4 linked regions of the Drosophila melanogaster genome follow. The protein of the gene in region 3 interacts with the protein of the main gene of each other region in a pairwise test. Each region holds a gene or a part of one and is shown on either strand. Other genes may lie near its edges. The genes, in order: CG7139, FoxP, CG7352 and CG12496.

Region 1 (6,903 bases), on a different chromosome or scaffold from region 3:
ACCCTTGCTGCCTTGATGTATGCATGCTCCAAAATATCTTCGTATTTGCGCGCTTTGGCCGGGCGCTTTATTAGTCCCACCTTTAGACGCCTCCAAAGACTACAATCTTTTAAAGGAAGCTTGAAAAATTGAAAAATTCCATATCTGGTGACTCCGCTAAAAACGCGTAGAAGGCAACTCAGACAGAGCAGCTCCGCCTCAATCTAAAGGTATATCCTGAAACATGTTTTGCTTTTTTTAATCAAGAAGCATTAAAGAAATAGGGTTAAAATAGAATCGAATACGATATGGCATACACACAAAAAAAAATTCAAATAAATAAAATTTTTATACCTTCGGACTAAAATATTGTTTTCATACTCTGCATCGGATTTGGTTATGTATATACAGCTGTGTTCAATGAAATAGCAGTGCGAAATATGAAATACAGATATTTTTCCATGTCCCTTTTCGGTATCGACTATTTATTCCACTTATTTTTGAATATGTGCCCTGTCCAGTCAGGAACTTTGAAAGCTAGAATGTTAAGAATAATTATAGCGATTATAGAGACATAGACGCAGCGCAAGTTTGTTGACCCATGTTAACACGCCCAATAAACGCCCACAAGCCGCCCAAAACTGTCCAAATTGTTAAGATATTTTTTTCATTTTTTATTTGTCTATTATAATTATATTTTATTATATTATATTTTATTATTTTTATATTATATATATATACATATATATATATTATACATATTATTATATATATTATATTATTATATACATTATATTTTAATTTTTTCGTTTTATTGTGTGTCTTGTCAATTTCCATCTGTATCAAAAACACTTTTGCCACGTCCCTCTTTACACCAGCAAAACGCCCAAAACATTCCCACTTTTAAACAATTTTAAAAAATGTTCTTAAAATTAATGAAATTTGCACACTACTAACTGAGTAAATGGTATCTCAATAAAATATGATGGCAAATGTAGAAACGAAAGACGTATTTATTTTCTTTAAACAACAATATGTCCTTGGTGCGAAATAATATACAGATAACACGATTTATTTATCGATGTTTTTCCATACAAAGATAACACACATTTCCTCAATATCGATCGATATTCCAGAAAAATTATGAAATTCGCACACTACTAACTGAGTATCTTATAGTCGGGTAACTCGACTATAGCATTCTCCCTTCTCTTCTTCTGTTCACAATTCCATTTCTATGTTATCGGAAGAAAAACTATATTTTGCTGCGTAAGCGAAACTAGAATTCGGGTGTTTAGTACCCAATTAACAGCTCTCAAAGTTCCCGAGATATTGGATTTCGTACGGACGGACGTGATAACGACGTTATAATTTCATGTTATTTTATAACATTTATCATAATCATATTAAGAATCTTATTTATGTGCTTAACATAATGTTTTCATAGTATTAAAAAAAAAAATCCAAAAACTTAGCGATTTTATTCCGAAGCAATAGCTTGGCTTGAAAAAAGCTGGCCGCCAGCACTGCTGCTTATCGATGACGCGTGACCATAGCCTCCTCCATCGATAGCCTCCGCACAGACGTGGTTTTCCCAACTTGCAATGCAGCGAATTAACGGATGTAATGCGACGCATAGCTTCCCGATTTCTGGAAACAAGCAAACGAAGTTGCAGCCCGCAGGTTGATCCTTGCATGACAACCGATTGAATGAGAGAGATTGAGACATCAACGCGCAGTTACGACATCGGGGGATTACAGTCTGGTCAGATATTGGTGAGTCCGAGATTCAGATGCGAATTGGGTGATGGGGTGTCTGTGGTTACTGCGCATTACGTTGGTCGATCCCCCCTAAACGATCTGCTTTCACAGGGCAAGCTAGCAAAAGGAAAACAAACGCCATGTCGACAGAGCGAAGCTCGCATTCAGCTGAACCAGCGGATTTGGCGCTTTTGTTGGACCGCATCAACATCAACAACAACAATAATAATAATAAGAATAATAATAATAATAATAACAACAACAACAACAACAATAATAATAATGACAATAACAATTGCGGTCGCAGCAAGAGCGGTGGAACTCACAGGAAATATGCAACTGCTGAAGCCCCAAGCTCCATTAGAATGTGCCCCGCCAGCAATCTGAACAGCAACCAAAGCAACAAACAATTTAACTCGATTTGCCAGCGGGCGCAGGCGGGCCATAAGCTGATGATCATAATGCGCGGCCCTTCAGGCAGCGGTAAGAGTACACTGGCAGAGTCTCTGCTGCGCCAGGCGCATCTACTCGATCGACACCAGGTGCGCGACTTTGTCCTGAGCTCAGACGACTACTTCAAGACGCGCCGCGGCTATGTCTTCAACCCCACTCTGCTGCCAGCTGCCCACGAGTGGAACCAGCAGCGAGTGCGCGATAAGGCCGCCTCCGGCTGGAGCCCCATCATCGTGGATAACACCAATACAATGGTCTGGGAGATGCAGCCATATGTCCAGTTCGCCGTGCGCCACGGTTACGTAATTGAGCTTCTCGAGCCCAATACTAGTTGGTGCAAGTCTGCCAGCAAACTGGCCCAGAAAAACGTCCACAACGTCCCACGGGAGAATATTCAGCGCATGCTAGAGCGATTCGAGCGGACGACTGCGGGAGAGCTCATTCAGGTAAGAAGGCACTTTAAATCGTCTATATACATACATATGTATATAAAGATAGAGATTTATTGTTAACTGCAATCTCATTGTGAGTCAGCCAAAAATGTGTAATTGTATACCCGTTACGCGAGTGTAAAACGTTTAACTAAGCTCGATAAAAAATCTTTAAGAGGTATATATTTATTCTTAATCATTATCACTGACCAATTCAATTTTGCTTCTTTGCATTTCATTATTTTTCCGGCGAACTTCCTTTGAATTGCGAAAAACATTCAGACCACCTGCAGAAACATAGTAGAGGCCTTTTTTGTTGGCTACTTAATTTTTTAGGGCATACCATGGTCAGTCAGAAAGTCGCTGGCAATCTGAGAAACAGTCGCTTTTTTGTAGCTGAGAGAAGACGGGTATCGAATATCCGAGGATCGGAATGTGGCAGTCTAGCCACATACACATACAATTTGAGGCAACTAGCTCGTTTTCATTTTTTATTGGTAAATTTTTGGTATATTACGTTCTTGGTTGTATTTTATTTTCTACCCCGAAGCTTATTAAGTAATGGCACTTACTATAGTTTGTATCTTTCACATCCTCTACCGGAATATTTTATGCGACAGTTAATGAAGGAGACAAAGTATTCTGTGGAGCTGCCGCAACTACGCAATCACCCGCCCCTTCCTGCCGTGCCTATCATCACGAGCTTTGAAGAGAGCAAGCTGCTGGAAGCCCCAGTCCCAGCGCCAGCGGAAAATGCCTTTAAGCTGAATGCTAATGCCCAAACGTGGGTGCCCTACGAGCACGGAGCGCCTTCATACTGGTCGCAAACAGTGAACTCAGTAGACACAGGCGACGCGACAGTTCCGGAAATTCCGGATGCTTTGGGTGCCGCAGCTCCCGTAAAGAGCGAATTGTCTATTATTGATCTGCTCCGCGAAGAGAACCAAATAAAGGTGGTGCCGTCGAAAGCGGAGTCTAGCGGGGCAAAGCCTCTTGAGATGCACAGCCTAGACTGCCCAAATGAACCGAAAGGGTTTGCACACCTGCGCCAGATGTATCCCAACAAACAGCTGGCCGGCCTCTGGGATCTGTTTGTAAAGTGCCAGGCCGACGTGGATTGGGCCGTTGATATTCTATTAAAGGAGGACGAGCTCAACGCGGCCACTGGTTCGGATCAAATCGGATTTGAAGAAACTATCGATAGCGAGGAGGCGGCGCAGTTTCAATGCGACTGCGACAAGGCGGTTGAAGCCCAGGAATCTCCGATTTCAACTCCCATCTGCGCCTCACCAACTTTACCAGTATCGAAGACCGAATCCAAGCCGCAACGTCAACCGCGCAACAAACGAGCATCGGCCCCCACCAACAAAGAGTTGCAACTGAAAATCCAGAATTGCTTTGTGTTAGGTAAGATATTGTTCTAATAGGAGTCAATTAAAAATAAACTTATTATTTATATTGCGTTAACACTCACGGCACTAATGAATTTAATGTATTTCCATTATATTATGTTAGAGATTCGAGTTCGATATCTGATGCTAACTAATATTAAATAACTAATAATAACTAATGATTATTGATTTTTAGGCGACGAACAATACTCGGAGCACACCCGTAAAATTCGCGATATTCGCAATGGAATCCTGGATCAACCTACAGTGCCTAAGCTACTGGAAGCACCCGAGGAACCAGAGCTTGAAGAGCAGGAGGAGGAGGAGGACCCTGAAGAAAATACTCTGCTGGAAATTGATTTGGGCGGCACTTTAATTGAGCAGCTGCGCGCTCAGTTCCACACGGAGGACGAGTTGTTGCCGCCGGAACAGGAGCTTCCCACCGCAACAAAAATATTTATGCCGCGTCAGCTAGCCAAGCAGCTTTACATGTTATGGATGGAAGCTGTGTTTAACCAGCTAGAGGAGATACGCCAGCAGACAATGCGCGATGACGAGCAGTTCGCCCGCCTGCTCAAGCATCCAGGTTACGCCGATTGCAGCGAGTCTCCGAGCAACGTGGCTGAGCTTTTGGATATGGAGTTGGCCTGGAGCATATACAATAGCGAGCAGCTGGCCGCCAAGAAGGCAGCCGAGTTGACCGCTCGCAAACAAACGCCCACCGATATAGCTACCCACCTAACCAAGATGAAGCTGTGCGAGACGTTCCCGGACGTTCCTACCGACACTGTGCTTGAGGTCTTTGCCGCAACCGGCAGCAATTACGTTCAAACAGTCGAGGTCTTGGACAGCAACGTTAAGAGTATGCTGAGCAAAGCGGAACTCTATGATAAGGCCCTTCGCGAGGGCGAAAAGCTTAGTGAGCAAATGGCGCTGGAAGAGCGGCGGCAGCAGCAGCAACAAAAGCAACATAACTCCTCCGGCCAAGGCCAGCGCTCCAGCTCCAGTTCGTACGCCTCTGGCCGGTCGCCCCAACTGCAAGAGGAGGTCAAGTGCGCCGCTCTTCGCGACTTTGAAGAGACGCGAAACATGGCCGCCCATCACTCCCAACTTAAAGCAGAGTGCTATCTAAAGGCCAAACAGGCGGTACAGCGCGGCAATAGTAGCGTGGCGTTATACTACTCGGAGATAGCCAAGTTACACAAGCAGAAGATCGACGTATTCAACCAGAGGGCGGCCAATTGCATAATGGAGGTGCATCGGCACACCCAGAACAACCCGGACCTGCTAGACCTGCATTACCTACACACGGTAGAGGCGATCAGTTGCCTGGACTTGTTCCTTGACCGCCACATAACTGTGCTGCGCAACACCACCCGCGTGTACAAGCACGTATTCATTATCACGGGCCGTGGTCTTCACAGCGCAAACGGAGTGTCCACCATTAAGAACAGGGTGAAGGCCAGGCTGGGCGAACGCCGTTTGCGGTTAGTAAGGGGCATATTTCGTTAAAAGTCGTCTAATTATTCACCAACCTATTTCAGATGGCAAGAAGTTAATCCAGGGTTGCTGCGCGTCAAGGTGTTTTCAGCATCGCGTCATTCAAAGAACTTCTGATTGGATGCGAATCGCACGACAGGACTTGCTGGACAAAATGCGTTTCACACTGCCATATAGAAAAAAAGCAAGTGTTATTTAACTTTTGTAATTGCCTACAAAATTGTAAAGTTAAGTAATCATTTTCCCCTGTCCTGGTCGCTGTTTTACTTTCGAATGTGTTCTATAACCTATGAAACATTCCCGATTTTATTACTCTATATTACTTTCAATGCTCGTCCCAATTATTTTTAAGTTTGAATAATGCTTCCAGCGTAGAGTTTGTGTACGACGCGAATTCGCAATGCGACTCAGGAAAGTAGTGATTTAGTATCTTCCAATAATATACCTAATCACAGAATTACTTATTTTTATACTAGTTTACTCAATGTACTACCTAGGTACAATAGGATTAGTGTAAAAATAGTAGTCCTAAGGTACACGAGGTCCAAAAATTACCATTACATTTCAGATTAATAAGCAAATATTGACATTTTCTTTATAAATAAATCGAAACGTGAGAAGGATATTATTCAGACAAGTTTTTAAACGAACATCGTAGTACGATATTTTATTTTTCAAACTGTTACATCGAACATTCTACAATATGTTGTAAACATACTGGCTTCGAAAATCAATTTGTACTACAAATTACGTAGTAGCAATGTATGCCTAGATCCGTCAATTAGCCATCGAACTTTCCAGTGTTTACAATAGTGGTTGGTTTAGTTCTAGGTACCGCTGATCAGTCTGTTCTATGAGCAATATAAACCTTCCTTCTGCCTACCTGGACCATCTGCCCGGCAGGGAAGAGCATAACCTTGGTTTAATGTTTGAAACATGGAAAGACGACAATCTTTATTTACCACTACAAAATCTTTTAGCCTGACATCGGAAAACGCGTGACACGAAGCTTAGGTAAACTGAAGGATCAGCCGAGGATACACATCTGGGTGTACACCTGCTGACCGCTGGGTGTGAACAATACATTCAGGTAAATGGTAACTTATTCTAGAACATCGATGGCAGTCTGAGCGAGGGCTCCATGGCTTTGGTTGGGAAGGCTGGACTGCGGTCACTAGGTGGGGTCCTTGAGTGGCGAGGGTAAATGCGGGTCAGAGACTCGCGCTCCCGGCGACTGGTTCTCCTTGCCGCCGTGCAGCCGGTTGGCCATCAGCTCGATGAGATTTGCACGTCCGCGCTTGGGCGTAAATCGGGAATTGCCCGAGCTGGAAGCTTTATCGCGGGGCGGGGTGCTCAGGAAAACGCCCTCGAAGATCGTCTCCAAGCTG
Region 2 (7,520 bases), 1.4 Mb from region 3:
TATTTTCACATAACAAATACATGCAGCCGTACGTACACAATTACACGGAATTCCGCGTTCACATGTGCGTAATTGCGGTACGCGAGGATTATATTTACCTTTCAATAAACTGATCGTCCGAGCCCGGTAGCGGTTGCAAAACAAATTGCATGGAAACCATTTTAATTTTTCAACTATTCATGTACACAGTGTCCTCGTTGAATTTTCATGTCACAAAACGTTGAGAGACTTTCAGAGTGACCGTACTGGCTAGAGCTGGGACGAAAACCGATGCCGCCCGACTGTATCGATGGTTGCCGGAAAATTCGACGGTATCGATACATTCTCCAAACAAATTTATTGGTAAACAAAAACTTTACTTTCAAATTAAATTGACATTGACTACAATATGTGTACTTAGGCTGTATATATTTTATTAAATTTAAGATACAGAAGTTCACGAATGCGTCCATTCTTATCGGTTGTTTTTCCTTAAATAGTGGCAGTCCAAAAAATCTCCAATAGAATATACTAAAATATACTAAAGACCGCTTTAAAATAATGAATTGGTAGAAAACTTTGATTGACAAACTTTTGAGAAGCCGATTTAACCGCTTTTACGTCGCGTAAACCGTTTGCTTAGGAACTAGAAATAAAATTCAGTTTGTTCACTTTGTTGTATATTTGAGGAATTTATTTAGGTCACTGAGTATCGTTAATGATCTTAAATTAGAAGGAAATTAGATAAGTCAGCAGAAAAGCATATACGTTTACTAAGGAGTTTCCAAATCTAAAGCTCTCAAGGGTCCAGATTTTTAACAGAAGGTATACCTGAAAATAGTTTCCTTAAAAAAAAATCATATTGTGACTTTTAAAACAGTTTTGTTAAAATTTTATCAAGCTATAGCTTTTAAATGTTTTCTCCCTTGCTGAAAAGTGAAAATATTCATATATGTTGTACTCGTATATTAAAATCGTGTTATAAGTGGAGTTATTAAAGCAAGTTTAAACACATTAATTTTGCTTTAATAATTTAACGTAGTTCTTTCGTTTATTTTATAGCATTAGTGAAATTTATTTTAAAAGTATTTTTTCATTTCTATTTGGGAAATTATACATAGAACCATGTGTATGTACAGATATAATTTCCGAATCCGAACCTTCTTACCAAACGCAGATTACTCGACAATGCATCTAAATATATGTATAGTTAATGATATATTATTTATCGATTGTGCTCATTGGCACTACTCTCGTACATATTAGTAGAATATTCATCGATTGTCAAGTGGCTGTTACTTTCGATCATACCCGAGTCCATATTGCTATAGTCCTTGGACGCTTTACTTAAACCATCACTACCGCAATAGGGAAGACAACCAATTCTGCCTAAATCATTTGGATTATTGGAATCTAGAGGATTATCAGCACCCGGTGGCAAACTAGTGCAATGTTGCGTACAATTGTCGCAGGGATTCTTATCAGTGGGCACACCATTGCCGGATTGGCATGAATTTGGGGAGGAGGACGGTTCATATTTCCGGGGTCTCCCTCTCGACAAGTGCCGCCTTTTGACAAACTCATTATCGTCGACCATCCAAAACGAGCCAAAGTCATCTTCATAACGTACAAAGCACTTGTGTAAGGAAAGGTTCGTACGAATCGCATTCTTTATGATTGGTTGGACAAAACAAGAGCCCCATCAAGAGTCAGAAACAGGAAATTGCATTATCGTGAAAGGAAGAAAAAGTTCATTGAGATATTAAGGTTAGTTCATTTGTCTTCGGTCTTCTTATTTTCATTTTTCATAACACGCGAAATCCTGGATAATCTTCATCAGCTAAATTCCAGACAGACAGACAGACAGATCGATGAGCAGACGGACATCATTTTGGGTTTCTACCACTAAGAGATTAGAATCACTGTTTACAATTTGCGCTGTAAAAAGATCGTATAATGTCATATTATATCATTTCGATATAGGAGCATGCATGCAATGGCATATGTATATTTACTAACAGAGCAAAACGGAAGGAGTTTGGAGCAAAGTGAGTAGAATTAAACTATTTGAGACCCACATACCCAATGTTCATGGCTACAAAATAGTTAGTGTCCGGCGAATTGGTAGCACCGGTTAGATTGTTACCAATGCCAGCAGTGCGCTGCGGTCGTCTTTTGTAAAACTCAATCTCATCGACAGTCCAAACTGCTCCTTTCACATTCTCAACCCGCATAAAGCACTTATGAAGGGACAGATTGTGCCGGACTGCGTTCTAATGATATATATTATCAGTTAGCATAGGCCAAACTTAATTTGATTATTTTAAGACATATAAAAAGGAAATGGAATAAAACAGGATCTGACCTGTGTAGCTTACCTTGTTATATATCACTTGTATTTAGCTCTATTATACTCTTAAATATTGGCAAAGTAGTGGACAATGTGGAAAAGGTAGTATATAGTATATATACAGCGGACAAGCTAGGAACGCCAATCGGACAAACGAGAGTTATACGGACGGACAAATGGTCATATCAGATCATAGATATCATATCATATAGCATAAATACTCAAATTAAAGTTATGTTGCATAATATATAGATAATATGGAGGAAAGAAGATTTACATATATGGGGCATTTTACCTTCCACGTAGCTGCGTTGCGCCGGAAGTAGCAAAATGTGTTTTGGAACCAGTTGTAGATTTCGTTTAGGGTTAACTGCTTGTCAGGGGAGTCAATTATAGCCTATAAATAAAATATATATAAAAAAAATAAATTAATGTTATATTAGGAAATTGGTTTTTAAAATTACCTGTCTTATGAGGGAAGCATAAGTAAAAGGCGGTCGTACATCAGCATTCTTATAAAACTCTCTGTTTCGATGGATTTCTGCAAATTTAAATTCTTATTATATGTCTTCCAGAAGCACAAGACGAATAGTCATCAAGACGATCAGTCTACATAATTTACTTACCCTGTTGCACATCAAGACCTGCTCTTTCAAGCATATAGGGTAATCCTATATCCAAAAACCATTATTATTTTTATACAGTAATAGTAAATTTTTCCCAAACTTACCCCCATTTATGGAAAATGTATTTTTGTCGTGGTTTCTCTTTTTGATCGAGCACAAGTTGGTGGAATTAACCATTGGAAGATTCAGAGGACTCGGTGAATTTGTTTGTCGGATGGGTCGGCCTATGCTATTTACGGTAAGCGGACTCCGGCAAAACTTTCCCTCTCTTCCGGGCACGTCCTTATATTTATAACTTTTCATTATACCAATACTTACTCACATAAAAAGGGACTTACCTTCCTGTCGATTTTGGTGGGAGACAAAAGCTGCTTGGACAAATACAAGTGATGCATCATTGCCTGCAAGCGATCTCGTTCTTTTTGCAGGTGGGATTCCAGCTGGGAGACAACTTGCATTTGAACCCGTGCCTGTGCTGTTGATCGATCGTCCAAACCATGTTCCGTATTCAGATGCCTAGTTAGATAACATACCCTATATAATTATTTCATACCTCTAATTGTACTCCACCTACTTGACAAACGATGTGATGTCTTCCAAATCCATTTCGCAACCAGGCCAACGGCATATGCCATGAGCAAATAACGGATGATAGTACTTCCGCATGGCGAACTCATCGTGCATATAGCTGAAATCATTGTTGCACACCTCATTATCCTTCGACCGCAAGAATCTCTCTGCATCGGAGAACATGAGCTTCTCCTGCTCGGATATGAACTCGGGCACATTGTAGAAACCCAGATCGGGAACGGGAGCCATCATATGCTGACCCTGTATATGCATGTGTGGATTGGATTCGTGCTGCTGGGCCGCCGTTGAGGATTCATCGATGCTCGAGGCCGGTGAGCTGCACTTAACTACATGTGAGGCAAAGGTGATCGAGTTATTGAGAAAGCCAGTCGGCGGAAAACAATTGTTCTTAACAGCATCTGAGCATATGTCTGGTATGGAAATTTGGTGTCTCGACTTCACTGATATCTCCTTCTGAATCGAACTCTTAAAGTCCGATTCCTTGGCATCCTCGGAATACTCGTCGTCATGTATCCGATGCATGTTTTTAAAACTGAAATTTATAATCATTACCATTGATCCTTTACCCAAGAGATGGGCATATGCAAATACACAGAAATAATCTCTTTTTCGTCTGTCATTAGGAGTCATTTCAATAAAACTATCTTTACTCATATGCCGCCATTCCTGTAAAACTCCGAATCAGAGTGATAGTTTAAGGATTTCTATTTATTACGCCCTATTTAATTTCAGCTTAATTTTCCCGCACTATCATTGAGATGATACTTTCCCCAAAAGTTATGAATATTTAACAACTTGGCGCATATAAGATTTAACCCCTACTAAAGGCCCAGTGCTAAATGAATTCAGTGTAAATTAAATTAAACATTCTTTAAATGTTTGATTTAATTTTAAATATGTTACAAATAAAATGCCACGTCATCCGGTGCAGTTAATCTGTAAATATAAAGGTTATTCATAGAAAGCATTTATCATATTTAGGCGTATAACAAGTTTAAGATCTCACAAGGGGATTGCATAGGTGGCAAGGAAACCAGACACATCTTATTTTGCTAAAAAGAAACATATACAACATACATAACATAAGAAACATACAGACGGAACGGTCGGACAAACGGAAGGACATACAAACGGACGGACAAACGGACGGACAAACGGACGGACAAACGGACGGACAAACGGACGGACAAACGGACGGACAAACGGACATACAAACGGAAGGACATACAAACGGACGGACAAACGGATATAAAAACGGACGGACGTTTTGGCTATAGGATGAACTTAAATGGAAGAGTATATGAGTTTTGCAGATAGGACCATCTTACGATTGTTTTAATCAAATTCCTGTAATGAAAAATTATATAGCCACCTAAAATAAGAATAAATGTAAATGGTGAAATATGTAAGTATTAAATGTTTTATAGGAAAAGAAGAAAGATATAAAAGAGAAGAGAGAGGTATGGTTTTCATCACATTCGAAGATCCTGAAAAAATAGTATTATATTCGATATACATAAGCTTTTTGTGTAAAGGCGAATAAAGATAAATATATTGTTGGTATTGTGTAGATTTGCATTGTCTGTATTCGTTGGGGGCATTGATTATTCCAAGGGGTATATATGGGTAAATAAAATATTCATATTTCATATGTATACATATCATACAATTTCTGTATAAGAACTGTTTAAACTGGGACTTTTAAGATAAAGTTGTCTGCCTAGACTACTCAACAATATCTTAATTAACTTAACAGACTAGACTTAAATTTTGCGAATACATACATGCACATACAATTTTGCAGACAAAAGAGGATACAATTTTGCATGTACATTTACAATTAAATAACATTCACAGAGGTTTCCAAAGAACAATATTATATTTAATAACGGGCGAATTTTTTAATACAACTTTTCACATATATGTAAAATTAATTTAAACTTAAAAACTATCTTAAGAATATTTTTCGCTGCTACTCCTGAAAAGGTACGTCTACGACTACTGAATTTGCTAGAAATATGTGTACACATTTTTGCGCATGCGTTTCAAAATGCATCCTAAGGCTCCATTACACGTAACGATTTCAAAAATTAAAAACTTTTAAAAGTCAACATTAATTTGCCCAATTAATATTAATATTTAAAGCAATAAGAAAGTGATAAGTAGGGTTTTTTACGGAGGGGTAATTTCCAATAAATATATGATTTACCAATTTCCTTATATGAGAAAGTTTTATTCTTATTAACACAAAAGTTAAATTCCATCTAAAGACGAATATTTCCCATTTAAATAAGCCATTTTAAGCAATTGTGTTAAACTGTTTTATTGCGAAACTGTTTTATGCATTGGTATTTGGTAGAAAGAAAGTGATGTTTATAAAGTTGTAATGGCTGTATCATTTGTTGACAACGTTTTCTCTAGTATTCCTCATCTTCCCCCAGTTCGGTGGTGGAGTCGATGCCTACCTCCTCGTAGTCCTTCTCGAGGGCAGCGAGATCCTCGCGAGCCTCGGCGAACTCGCCCTCCTCCATGCCCTCACCCACGTACCAGTGGACGAAGGCCCTCTTGGCGTACATCAGATCGAACTTGTGATCCAGACGGGCCCAGGCCTCGGCAATGGCAGTGGTATTGGACAGCATGCAGACGGCGCGCTGCACCTTGGCCAGATCTCCGCCAGGAACAACGGTGGGTGGCTGATAGTTGATGCCCACCTTGAAGCCCGTGGGACACCAGTCGACGAACTGGATAGAGCGCTTGGTCTTGATGGTGGCAATGGCTGCGTTCACATCCTTGGGCACCACATCACCGCGGTAGAGCATGCAGCAGGCCATGTACTTGCCACGACGCGGATCACACTTGACCATCTGGTTGGCCGGCTCGAAGCAGGCATTGGTGATCTCGGCCACGGTCAGTTGCTCATGGTAGGCCTTCTCCACGGAAATGACGGGAGCGTATGTCGCCAGTGGGAAATGAATGCGTGGGTAGGGCACCAAATTGGTCTGGAACTCGGTCAGATCCACATTCAGGGCGCCATCGAAGCGCAACGAGGCCGTAATGGAGGAAACGATCTGGCCAATTAGGCGATTGAGATTCATGTAGGTGGGTCGCTCGATATCCAAGTTGCGCCGGCAGATGTCGTAGATTGCCTCGTTGTCAACCATAAACGCACAGTCCGAGTGCTCCAGCGTTGTGTGGGTGGTTAAGATCGAGTTGTATGGCTCGACCACAGCTGTGGACACCTAACAGGAAGTTCGATTATTAGATTGCCTTTCGAAGACTAATTTCCCATGTCTTTTACTAATTATGTTAATTGGTCTTCTATAAATGCTCAAGCAATAGATATAATATCCATATGCAAATGACATACTTGTGGTGCTGGGTAAATGGAGAACTCCAGCTTTGACTTCTTTCCATAGTCCACGGACAGGCGCTCCATCAGCAGCGACGTAAATCCAGAGCCAGTGCCGCCGCCGAAGGAGTGGAAGACCAGGAATCCCTGCAGACCCGTGCACTGATCCGCCAACTTGCGAATCCTGTCCAGGACCACGTCGACGATCTCCTTACCGATGGTATAGTGGCCGCGGGCATAGTTGTTGGCCGCATCCTCCTTACCGGTGATCAGTTGCTCCGGATGGAACAGCTGGCGGTAGGTTCCTGTCCGCACCTCATCCACCACAGTGGGCTCCAGATCCACGAACACGGCACGCGGCACATGCTTACCAGCTCCAGTCTCGCTGAAGAAGGTGCTGAAGGAGTCATCGCCTCCGCCCACGGTTTTATCGGAGGGCATATGGCCATCGGGCTGGATGCCGTGCTCCAGGCAGTAAAGTTCCCAGCAGGCATTGCCGATCTGGACACCAGCTTGGCCAATGTGAACCGAAATGCATTCCCTCTGGAACAGAGTTTATAATAATGTGACTCATGTCGCTGTAAATTTGGGTAATTCTAAAATTTAACTTTGGACTTCCGGTTGC
Region 3 (4,035 bases):
CCGATCCTTTGAACAGGGCTCGCTGGACGAGCACAAGAACGGATCGCGTTGGTGGATCAAGGACAAGGGACCTGTCATCGAGACCTACATTGGTTTCATTGAGACATACAGGGATCCTGCTGGAGGTCGGGCTGAATTCGAGGGCTTCGTGGCCATGGTGAACAAGGAGAGCTCGGCCAAATTCTCCGAGCTGGTGAACCGCGCCGAGAAACTAATAGAGTACCTGCCCTGGACGGAGCCTTACGAGAAGGACTCTTACCTGAAGCCAGACTTCACATCCCTGGATGTCCTCACATTTGCCGGCAGCGGAGTACCAGCGGGCATCAATATTCCCAATTACGACGAAATCCGCCAGGATGAAGGCTTCAAGAACGTCTCGCTGGGCAATGTGCTGGCCAACATCAACCGCAAGGATCCCATTCCTTTCCTCACCGAGGAGGATCAAACTCTGATGAAAGAGTACAAGGTGAAGGCTTTTGAGGTGCAAGTGGGCCTCCATGAACTCCTAGGCCATGGTAGTGGCAAGCTATTCCGCATCGACGAAAATGGTGTGTACAACTTTGACAAGGAGAACACTAAGAACCTGGTCACCGGTGAACCCATCACCAAGTGGTATCTTCCTGGAGAAACTTACGACACCAAGTTCGGAGCAATTGGTTCCTCGTACGAGGAATGCCGCGCCGAGGCGGTGGGCTTGTATCTCTCCCTGCAGCGTGACATCCTGGAGATCTTTGGCTTCAAGGACAAAGCCGAGCAGGACAACATCATCTATGTCAACTGGCTGAGTCTCATCTGGAACGGCATGGGTGTGGCTCTGGAAATGTTCAACCCGAAGTCCAAGCTGTGGCTCCAGGCGCACTCTCGCGCTCGTTTCGTGATCATGAAGGTGCTGCTGGAGGCAGGCGAAGGACTCGTTAAGGTCGAGGAAACCGAAAAGGGTAAAAACCTTTTGCTGACGGTGGATCGCAGCAAGATCGATACCGTGGGCAGGAAGGCGCTGGGCGATTTCCTGACCAAGCTGCAGGTGTACAAATCCACCGCCGACATCGAGGCAGCTTCCAAGATGTACGAACACTACTCGAAGGTCGACGAGAGCGGATCGCATCCGTGGGCCAAGTGGCGGGATATCTGCCTGGCGCACAAGAAGCCGCGTATGATTCTCGTCCAGGCCAACACGGCGATCGGCCAGGACCAAAAGGTCCAGCTGAAGACCTACGAGCCCACCCACGAGGGGTACATCCAGTCATGGGTGGAGCGCTACCCCAACACTGACATCGACGATCTTCTGGAGAGCATCGTGGAGAAGGACAAGAAGTATTTCCCGACTGCCTTCAACAACTGAGAACATTTCGCATTTAACATTTTCGCCTTCATTATCAATTCAATTTGTTAACTATGATTTTGAAAAAAAATATATAAAAATATATATAGTCATCTAATGACCAACAATTTTAAATTTTAAATTGCTTTTATAGTAAAACTTTCGTAGTGAATGGTGATTTTAAGATCGTTTTTGCCATTCACCGAAAATATTGACAAAGGACCTGAATTTAATTGCTTGTATGTACATACATATATTGCGACCAAATGTATATTGCTCATAATAGCTCCACAATTAAGAATGTAAATATAAAATCAAATACTACAATTTGTTCATTGAATGTTTTCATAGTAGCCAGTCGATAAATATTGGTTTTTTTTTTTTTATTTTGTTTCTCGTTTCCATTTCTGTTTGCATTGTTTTGACCACCATGGCAACCGGTAGAAATCGTGGTAACCACAAGGAAGGTGGCACTATCAACATCGGACAGCCGCTATTCCAGGTGCCTCATTCATTGCGCAAGGAGCACGACTTTTTCAGCTCACAGCTGTTCCGAAAATTGCAGTACGACCTGGAGGAGGTGAGCCGCAGCCAGGAGCTTTCCAAAGTGAGTCCCATAACCCGCGACTTCATCGAGGAGGCAGCGATGACGCAGGAAATGCAAGATCTTAAGCGTGCGGAGTTTGTGGAGAGGAAACGTCGCCAGCAATTGCGGCGGGATTGCGAGGAACTGCGCGACTTGGCGGAGCAGCTGCGCCTAGCCGCCATTTCCAGGGATATAGCCGAGAATTTGGAGGAGAAAAAACGTCGTCGACAGCTAGACATCAAATTGGAAGCCGCGGAAGTGTCCCAAGAGCGCTGTCTGCTGGAGGTCAGGCAACGTGAGAAGGAAGTGGCTCTTAAGGAGGAACAACGCCGCCTTAGGGAGTCCTTGGCTGAACAAATGGAGGAGAACCGCCGACGGCGCCTGCAAGAGCACGCTCAGGTGATGAATGACCGGGAGCTGAGCCTTCTGATGCAGAAGCAAATCCAGGAAGAGGATCGAGCCCAGGAGCTGGAGGCGCAGAGAAAAAAACTACAAAAGCGACAGGACATGCTGCGGTCCATCAAGGAGAACCAGGAACTCAGAGAATGGCAGCGAGCTCAATACAACCAGGAGTTGAGTGACTTAGTCCAGAAGCAAAGTGACATGGAGCGCAGGAAACTCCAGCTGGAGGCTGAACGCCAGGAGATTCAACGCAAAAAACAAGAAATCAGCATTCGTTTGGGCCAGCAAGTCCTAGAAATCGAAGTAAGTCTTGAAGCGGTTTTTCGATTCAATCAATAAAGCTAACTCTTATTGCAGAACAAAAAACGGCATCGCGACAATCTGCTGCTGGATCTGTTGGAGGCGGAGTACACGGCCAAGAGTGACGAGCGCTATCGCCAACAGATGCAGCAGGAGCAGATGTCTCGCCAGCGCACCAGACAGGAGTTGGATCGCTATCGACAGGAGGTGAAGCATCGTAAGATGGCCGAAATGCAGATGAAGCGGGCGGAGATGGCTACGCGGCAGGAGGAGGCGCCGGATACAATCAACCAGAATTCCGAAAAGCAACTGGATGAATATCGCAGACGCCGGGCCCATGGAGCCTCCTTGCTTGCTATGATTGAGGATAATCACCGGAAGCGGGCGGAGGCCACCGCTGAAAATGTTCAGTACTTTGACATGAAGGCCAAGATCGATGCCGAGCAAGAGGAACGCATCAAACAGGAGCGTTTGGCCATGTTGAGCCAGGTTCCTTCCTCCGTGCTTCGATATCTACCAAAGCATGTCCTTAAGTCTACGGATAGGGAGCATTTCTGCCTAATTGACGCTCAGGCACGGGGCGGTGGCGATTCCTAGTCAGTGGCATAGTTCCAAATTGTAATTCTAAGACGGTCAAGTTTATTTTTGGCTTCCAAAAATAAATTATTTAAAATTAAGCGCCGTTGTGTCTACGTGACGTGTATCATTTAGGCTAGCGAAGATGCCAGACCGTCGCCTGTGCTGCCAGTTCGTTGTTTTGCTCGATTGGAAACCTCGATTGAAAGGATATTCTCACAGAATGCGCATCTGCTGTTTCAATTTGGTTTAATATTATTTTGAAAGCTCGGCCTAATAACCGCTTCATAATTGCCGCGAAAGTGTTTATGCAGTCCAATCAAAAATACTATAAATGTTATCTGTAATTGAAATTTTATATCAAATTGACTACTAACTATTTCTTTGCATCTTACTAATTGCATTCAAAAAACATAACTTTCATAAAATACATGTTTAGATATACGTTTATTTTGACTGGTATACCAATATATATCTTTTTATAAAAGATAAAGCCAGTGCTGCGGAAGCTTGTCGCTGGTGCAGAAGCTCGTGTGTGTGAATAGCTTCTTTTCGAAATCAGTGGTACCGAGCAATATCGAAACCAAGACATCCCTAACACGCCCATTATCGGACTATCGATACTATCGCGAGTGCTAGCTGACGCTGGTCTGGTTTTATTTTATGTTAACGGGAGTGATCTTGCGTACAAACAATAACACGGAATCGCAGTGAAAGGGCGTTGCACAAATGACAGTGTTTTGGCAAAATGCCCGGGCTAGTTTTGACCACGTTTAGCAGTGCCTAGAACGCAGAGTGCGCGACGCTAAAACAAGAGAACCGCGACAAAACAAAACGCGGAAACGCATAA
Region 4 (3,946 bases), on a different chromosome or scaffold from region 3:
AAATGCCGAAAATTCAAATTGAATTTGAGAGGTTTTCGTGTGGTTCTTTATCCATTTGTGTTTCGTTGTGTCCCAAAAAAACCGCAGAAAATGCGAGGATTATGGTAATTTTGTGTGGAAATTGCCGGTGAAGACTAGCCGGGATACGCCTTGTTAGGCAGGATGCTCGTTAAATCATATTAATCAACATGCCGGAATCCTTTCTTAGCGCTGGAAACTCTCTCAAAAACCCATTTAATCCTTTTGTGCGGCTGTGTAAACAGCAATAACTCAGCGCCACAAAGAGAATCGAAGGACTCGGGGACATAACGAGGGCAAATCGAAGGGAAAAGAGGTAAAAAGTAAGCAAAAGCAGGAGCGCATTTCGCAAAGTAAACGTTGAAAAAGAGTTGAAAAGTTGAGAAATTCGCCATTTCAGTGGATGGAACGGGGTAATCGATTAACTACCCCAGCACCCTTTTTGTGTCCCTATCCAGGATGAAAGCCGATCGGAAGATAGTCACATGAAAACATATGAAACAAAACGACTTTCACCACAAAAAAGCCGAAAAGGATAACGTGCGAAATATACGATCCCCGTTAGCGAAAATCTTTCAGCAATCGATCGCAAATAAAGATATCTCCAGGGGACCAGAACCCATTCAAAGATGCCTTTACATGCTGAACTAGATCAGAACGTCAGATAGCAAGCCACGTCGGTCACGGACACTTTGAGTGATCCAAGTCCAGGAGATGACGAGCGCCGATCACTTGAACGTCACTTAGGATCGCTGGTCGATGATCACTTGAAGATCACTCAGGGATCTCGATGATCACTTCATCTACAGCTGGTCAAGAGCCACATATGGGGGCAGTTATCTTTGATCTTGTCATCGGAAATATAATCTACTTATTGGTTCCATATTTCATATTCATATGGAGGACAGCGGCTGTGCTTTAAAATATAGATCACTACAAAGGTTATGGGAACCATTTCCTTTTACATTTACATTTCAAAGTTAAATCCATACAAGTTGTGAATTTGCATTGCATGAGGCCCATCTATTTGTAGAAAGAACACTTATTAAAAAGTTGATAATTTGATAATGCATACTGTGTACAAACTTTTCCCCTGTTGGGTGAGCAACTGACGCTTTGCACAGGACTTTTCCCAGAGTTTGTAACGTTTTTCTAATGCTTCCTTCCGGAAGTGGCAAACATTTTCAATTAAAGCCGCCGAGTATATAAATTGCATTTGCGGCCGCTAAAGAGCCGCAATTAATACTGATACCGCGCTACGACAAGTGGCTAAAATGACGAGGAGCTGTCGGCCAGGAAGTTGGACTTGGCATCGGCTAATTAGCCGGCCAACCTGACTTCCCTTCTCCCTTTTCCGTTCACTATTTTCCAGCCTGTTGCTGCTCTAAATGTCCATTCAAATGAGGGGGAGACAAGGGCGAAAGGAAGCAGACTTCCTTGAGGGGAATGAAAGCAAATTTAATAACCAAGCGCTGGCCGATAGACATCTAGATGTCATTTTCGTGTGGTGGTGCTGTGGATGAGTGCCTGGATTGGAGTGGGTGATTCTCGGCCGGTACTGCGAACTGTGGGAAAGGACGAATACCTCCAATACCTCCATCAAAATATCAGATCTCGTTGGCATAGAGATCATACTTTCATATTCTAAGCTAAGCTGCTGATATCCTCGAGCTTGTTGCTCAAGTTCCTCGAGATCCAAAGACAATTTGCTACCACACACATCCGTTGGCCAAAGAGAGTCTTTTCATCCAAGGAGAGAACGCCGGAGAGAGCGAGTGTCCTTCTGCCCGCCGGGGTGCCTCTTGCGCAACAACCCCTAGCCCCGTAACCCCTAGCCATTAACCCCTGAGCGCCGAGCGGGTATAAAACGCAGCCCGCTCCCCGTACCGCTTCAGTTTGTCAGCGAGAGCGGTCGAGAGCAGAAGACTAGCAGAGTCTAGAAGTACATCTTTTTTTTTTGTGCACCAGGAGCAGCAGAAACAGAACCACACACAACATGCTGAAGTGGACGGCATCGGCGCAGCGCCTGAACGAGATTCCCGTGCACGATCAGGATGCCAACCAGCCGCAGAGGAGGAGGCTGCAGAGGAGGCAGCGCCGTCAGCGGAGGGCCACCATTGCCAACAAGGAGAACGTGCCTGACACCGTGGGCTACACCTCCACGCCAGTGCCCATTACCCGGCTGCGCAACAGTCCCCTGGTCCTGGCGCCGCTGAGCGATATCCGGAATGTCACCCCGGAGGCGGTGGTGCGCAGTCAGGCGCCCCAAAGGGTACAGAGTGTGCGATACGCCACCACATTGCCACGTTTTGCCGAGGACTACTCGCCCAACGGACTGCCCAGTGGTCAGCACTTGGCGCTGAGGGGCCTGGCTCCGTTGGATCCCTTTCTGGGCCAGCCGCGCTATATTGTAGGCTCGGGTGCAGGAGTTAACAAACTCAAGCAGCGTAGACTGGACGAGGACTTTGTGGCCACCTTGGAGCCGGAGTTGCAGGAGACGGCAGTGCCAGAGCCACCCACCCCCAAGGTGGAAGTGCGTCCAAGCACACCGCAGCCCGCCTCCACGCAGATGGGTGATCAGACCTTGGATCGCCTAATCGATGCCATCTTGGATTCCGCCTGCAAGGCGAACGCCAGCAGCAAGAAGAAGCCGAGAAGGTCCACCTTCAATCTGCGCAGACGCACCTTGGTCAAGCAGCAAATGGAGTCGAACTGCCCCCAGGAGGTGCTGTCGCCATCCTACGCACCTGGAGACGATCCGGCCTCGGATCTGAGCTTTGGCCTGGTTCCCCTGCCCATGCACAACCTGATGCCCACTCCGGAACCGGCATCGCCCCTGGCCAAGATTCCTCACAACTTGCTTGTCCAACTGGCCACTCCAGTGGCCCCCAAGTCTGCCCCCTGCGACAACACCTTCTGCCTGGAGACTCCAGTCAAGGCCCTGAAGAGGACCCGCAAGGAGATCGTCGCCAAGGAGTCCCCCATTAAGCGCTACAAGGTCGACGAGCGCAATTACTTCGAGGTGGGATTGGCCCTGCCCTCGTCTATATATGTCTGAGCAGAGGTAATTTCAAACAGATCCTCGGAAAGCCACAAAAATGAGAAGAGAAACTAAATGCGAGATGGAGATGAAGATGGAGACGAGAAAGCGAGCAACGCTGACAAACGGGGGGAAAACGCTTAACTATGACGCTTAACTAGTTCCTAAGTCGTAAACTAATCATCTTTCAATTACTGTACATAATTTCTTAGGCCACCTTAATCACTATTTATTCCAATTACTAATATAACCATTTTTTTTTTTGCTGCTGTTATGTAGTTTTCGAATATACCTTTTTTTTCATTATTTAATTTTAAACAAATATGAATATTTATTGCTACTTTAAGTTACCCAAATAATTATTTTTTCAAAATAAAAGCATTAAATCAAAAACAATGGAGTACACTTTTCTTTTCTTTTGAAACGGGGAAAACTTTATATATCAGCTTATCATCATTAATGTCGCTTTTTTGAGTAACTTTGGCTACTTCCATGCGTACTGCCCAATATAGGGATATGGGATTGTATTGATTTCAAAATGGTGATATTTGAAAAAGACTAGACTATCTTCATAGTCTAGAAATGTTTTCTCATGTATCCATTGGAATCTACTCTTTAAATGTTAGGTTTATAGTTGGTTTCTGAACTATTTTCGAGATACGAACAAATATCATTTTTGTTGTGCCATAGCATCGCATCGAGTTTTCTGATGAATGCGAAACATCTGCGGTGACCTTCGTCACCTACGCAATATCCCAGCTCGTGCCGATTGCATTTTGACCTGCCGATACGTACAACATATATTTACACAGTTGCTTGACCAAGCGATTTGCTTTGCTTTTCCAGGCGACCAAAACAAACAACGGCGATGCAGGTTGGGAACTGGGA

Evidence for each region.
Region 1: the proteins of CG7352 (region 3) and CG7139 interact in a two-hybrid assay, tested with the Drosophila melanogaster proteins (one large-scale study listed by BioGRID).
Region 2: the proteins of CG7352 (region 3) and FoxP interact in a two-hybrid assay, tested with the Drosophila melanogaster proteins (one large-scale study listed by BioGRID).
Region 4: the proteins of CG7352 (region 3) and CG12496 interact in a two-hybrid assay, tested with the Drosophila melanogaster proteins (one large-scale study listed by BioGRID).

The regions. Positions count from the first base shown.
Region 1 is NT_037436.4:22,066,504-22,073,406, reverse strand, and holds CG7139 (uncharacterized protein), read left to right. Parts: upstream 1-1,558; 5' UTR 1,559-1,755; intron 1,756-1,851; 5' UTR 1,852-1,880; coding exon 1,881-2,639; intron 2,640-3,244; coding exon 3,245-4,031; intron 4,032-4,211; coding exon 4,212-5,502; intron 5,503-5,559; coding exon 5,560-5,632; 3' UTR 5,633-6,137; downstream 6,138-6,903. Other genes in the region: CG7133 (uncharacterized protein), read left to right, coding at 1-132; CG14561 (uncharacterized protein), read right to left, coding at 6,690-6,903.
Region 2 is NT_033777.3:9,725,366-9,732,885, forward strand, and holds FoxP (forkhead box P), read right to left. Parts: upstream 5,508-7,520; 5' UTR 4,069-5,507; coding exon 3,530-4,068; intron 3,472-3,529; coding exon 3,294-3,471; intron 3,238-3,293; coding exon 3,060-3,237; intron 3,001-3,059; coding exon 2,956-3,000; intron 2,871-2,955; coding exon 2,794-2,870; intron 2,727-2,793; coding exon 2,625-2,726; coding exon of another isoform or gene 2,562-2,624; exon of another isoform or gene 2,253-2,561; coding exon of another isoform or gene 2,043-2,252; exon of another isoform or gene 1,786-2,042; intron 1,649-1,785; coding exon 1,205-1,648; 3' UTR 655-1,204; downstream 1-654. Other genes in the region: hyd (hyperplastic discs), read right to left, coding at 99-160; alphaTub85E (alpha-Tubulin at 85E), read right to left, coding at 5,964-6,785, 6,914-7,438.
Region 3 is NT_033777.3:8,346,013-8,350,047, forward strand, and holds CG7352 (uncharacterized protein), read left to right. Parts: upstream 1-1,706; 5' UTR 1,707-1,751; coding exon 1,752-2,612; intron 2,613-2,666; coding exon 2,667-3,206; 3' UTR 3,207-3,284; downstream 3,285-4,035. Other genes in the region: DppIII (dipeptidyl aminopeptidase III), read left to right, coding at 1-1,342.
Region 4 is NC_004354.4:2,408,865-2,412,810, reverse strand, and holds CG12496 (uncharacterized protein), read left to right. Parts: upstream 1-1,909; 5' UTR 1,910-2,014; coding exon 2,015-3,076; 3' UTR 3,077-3,446; downstream 3,447-3,946.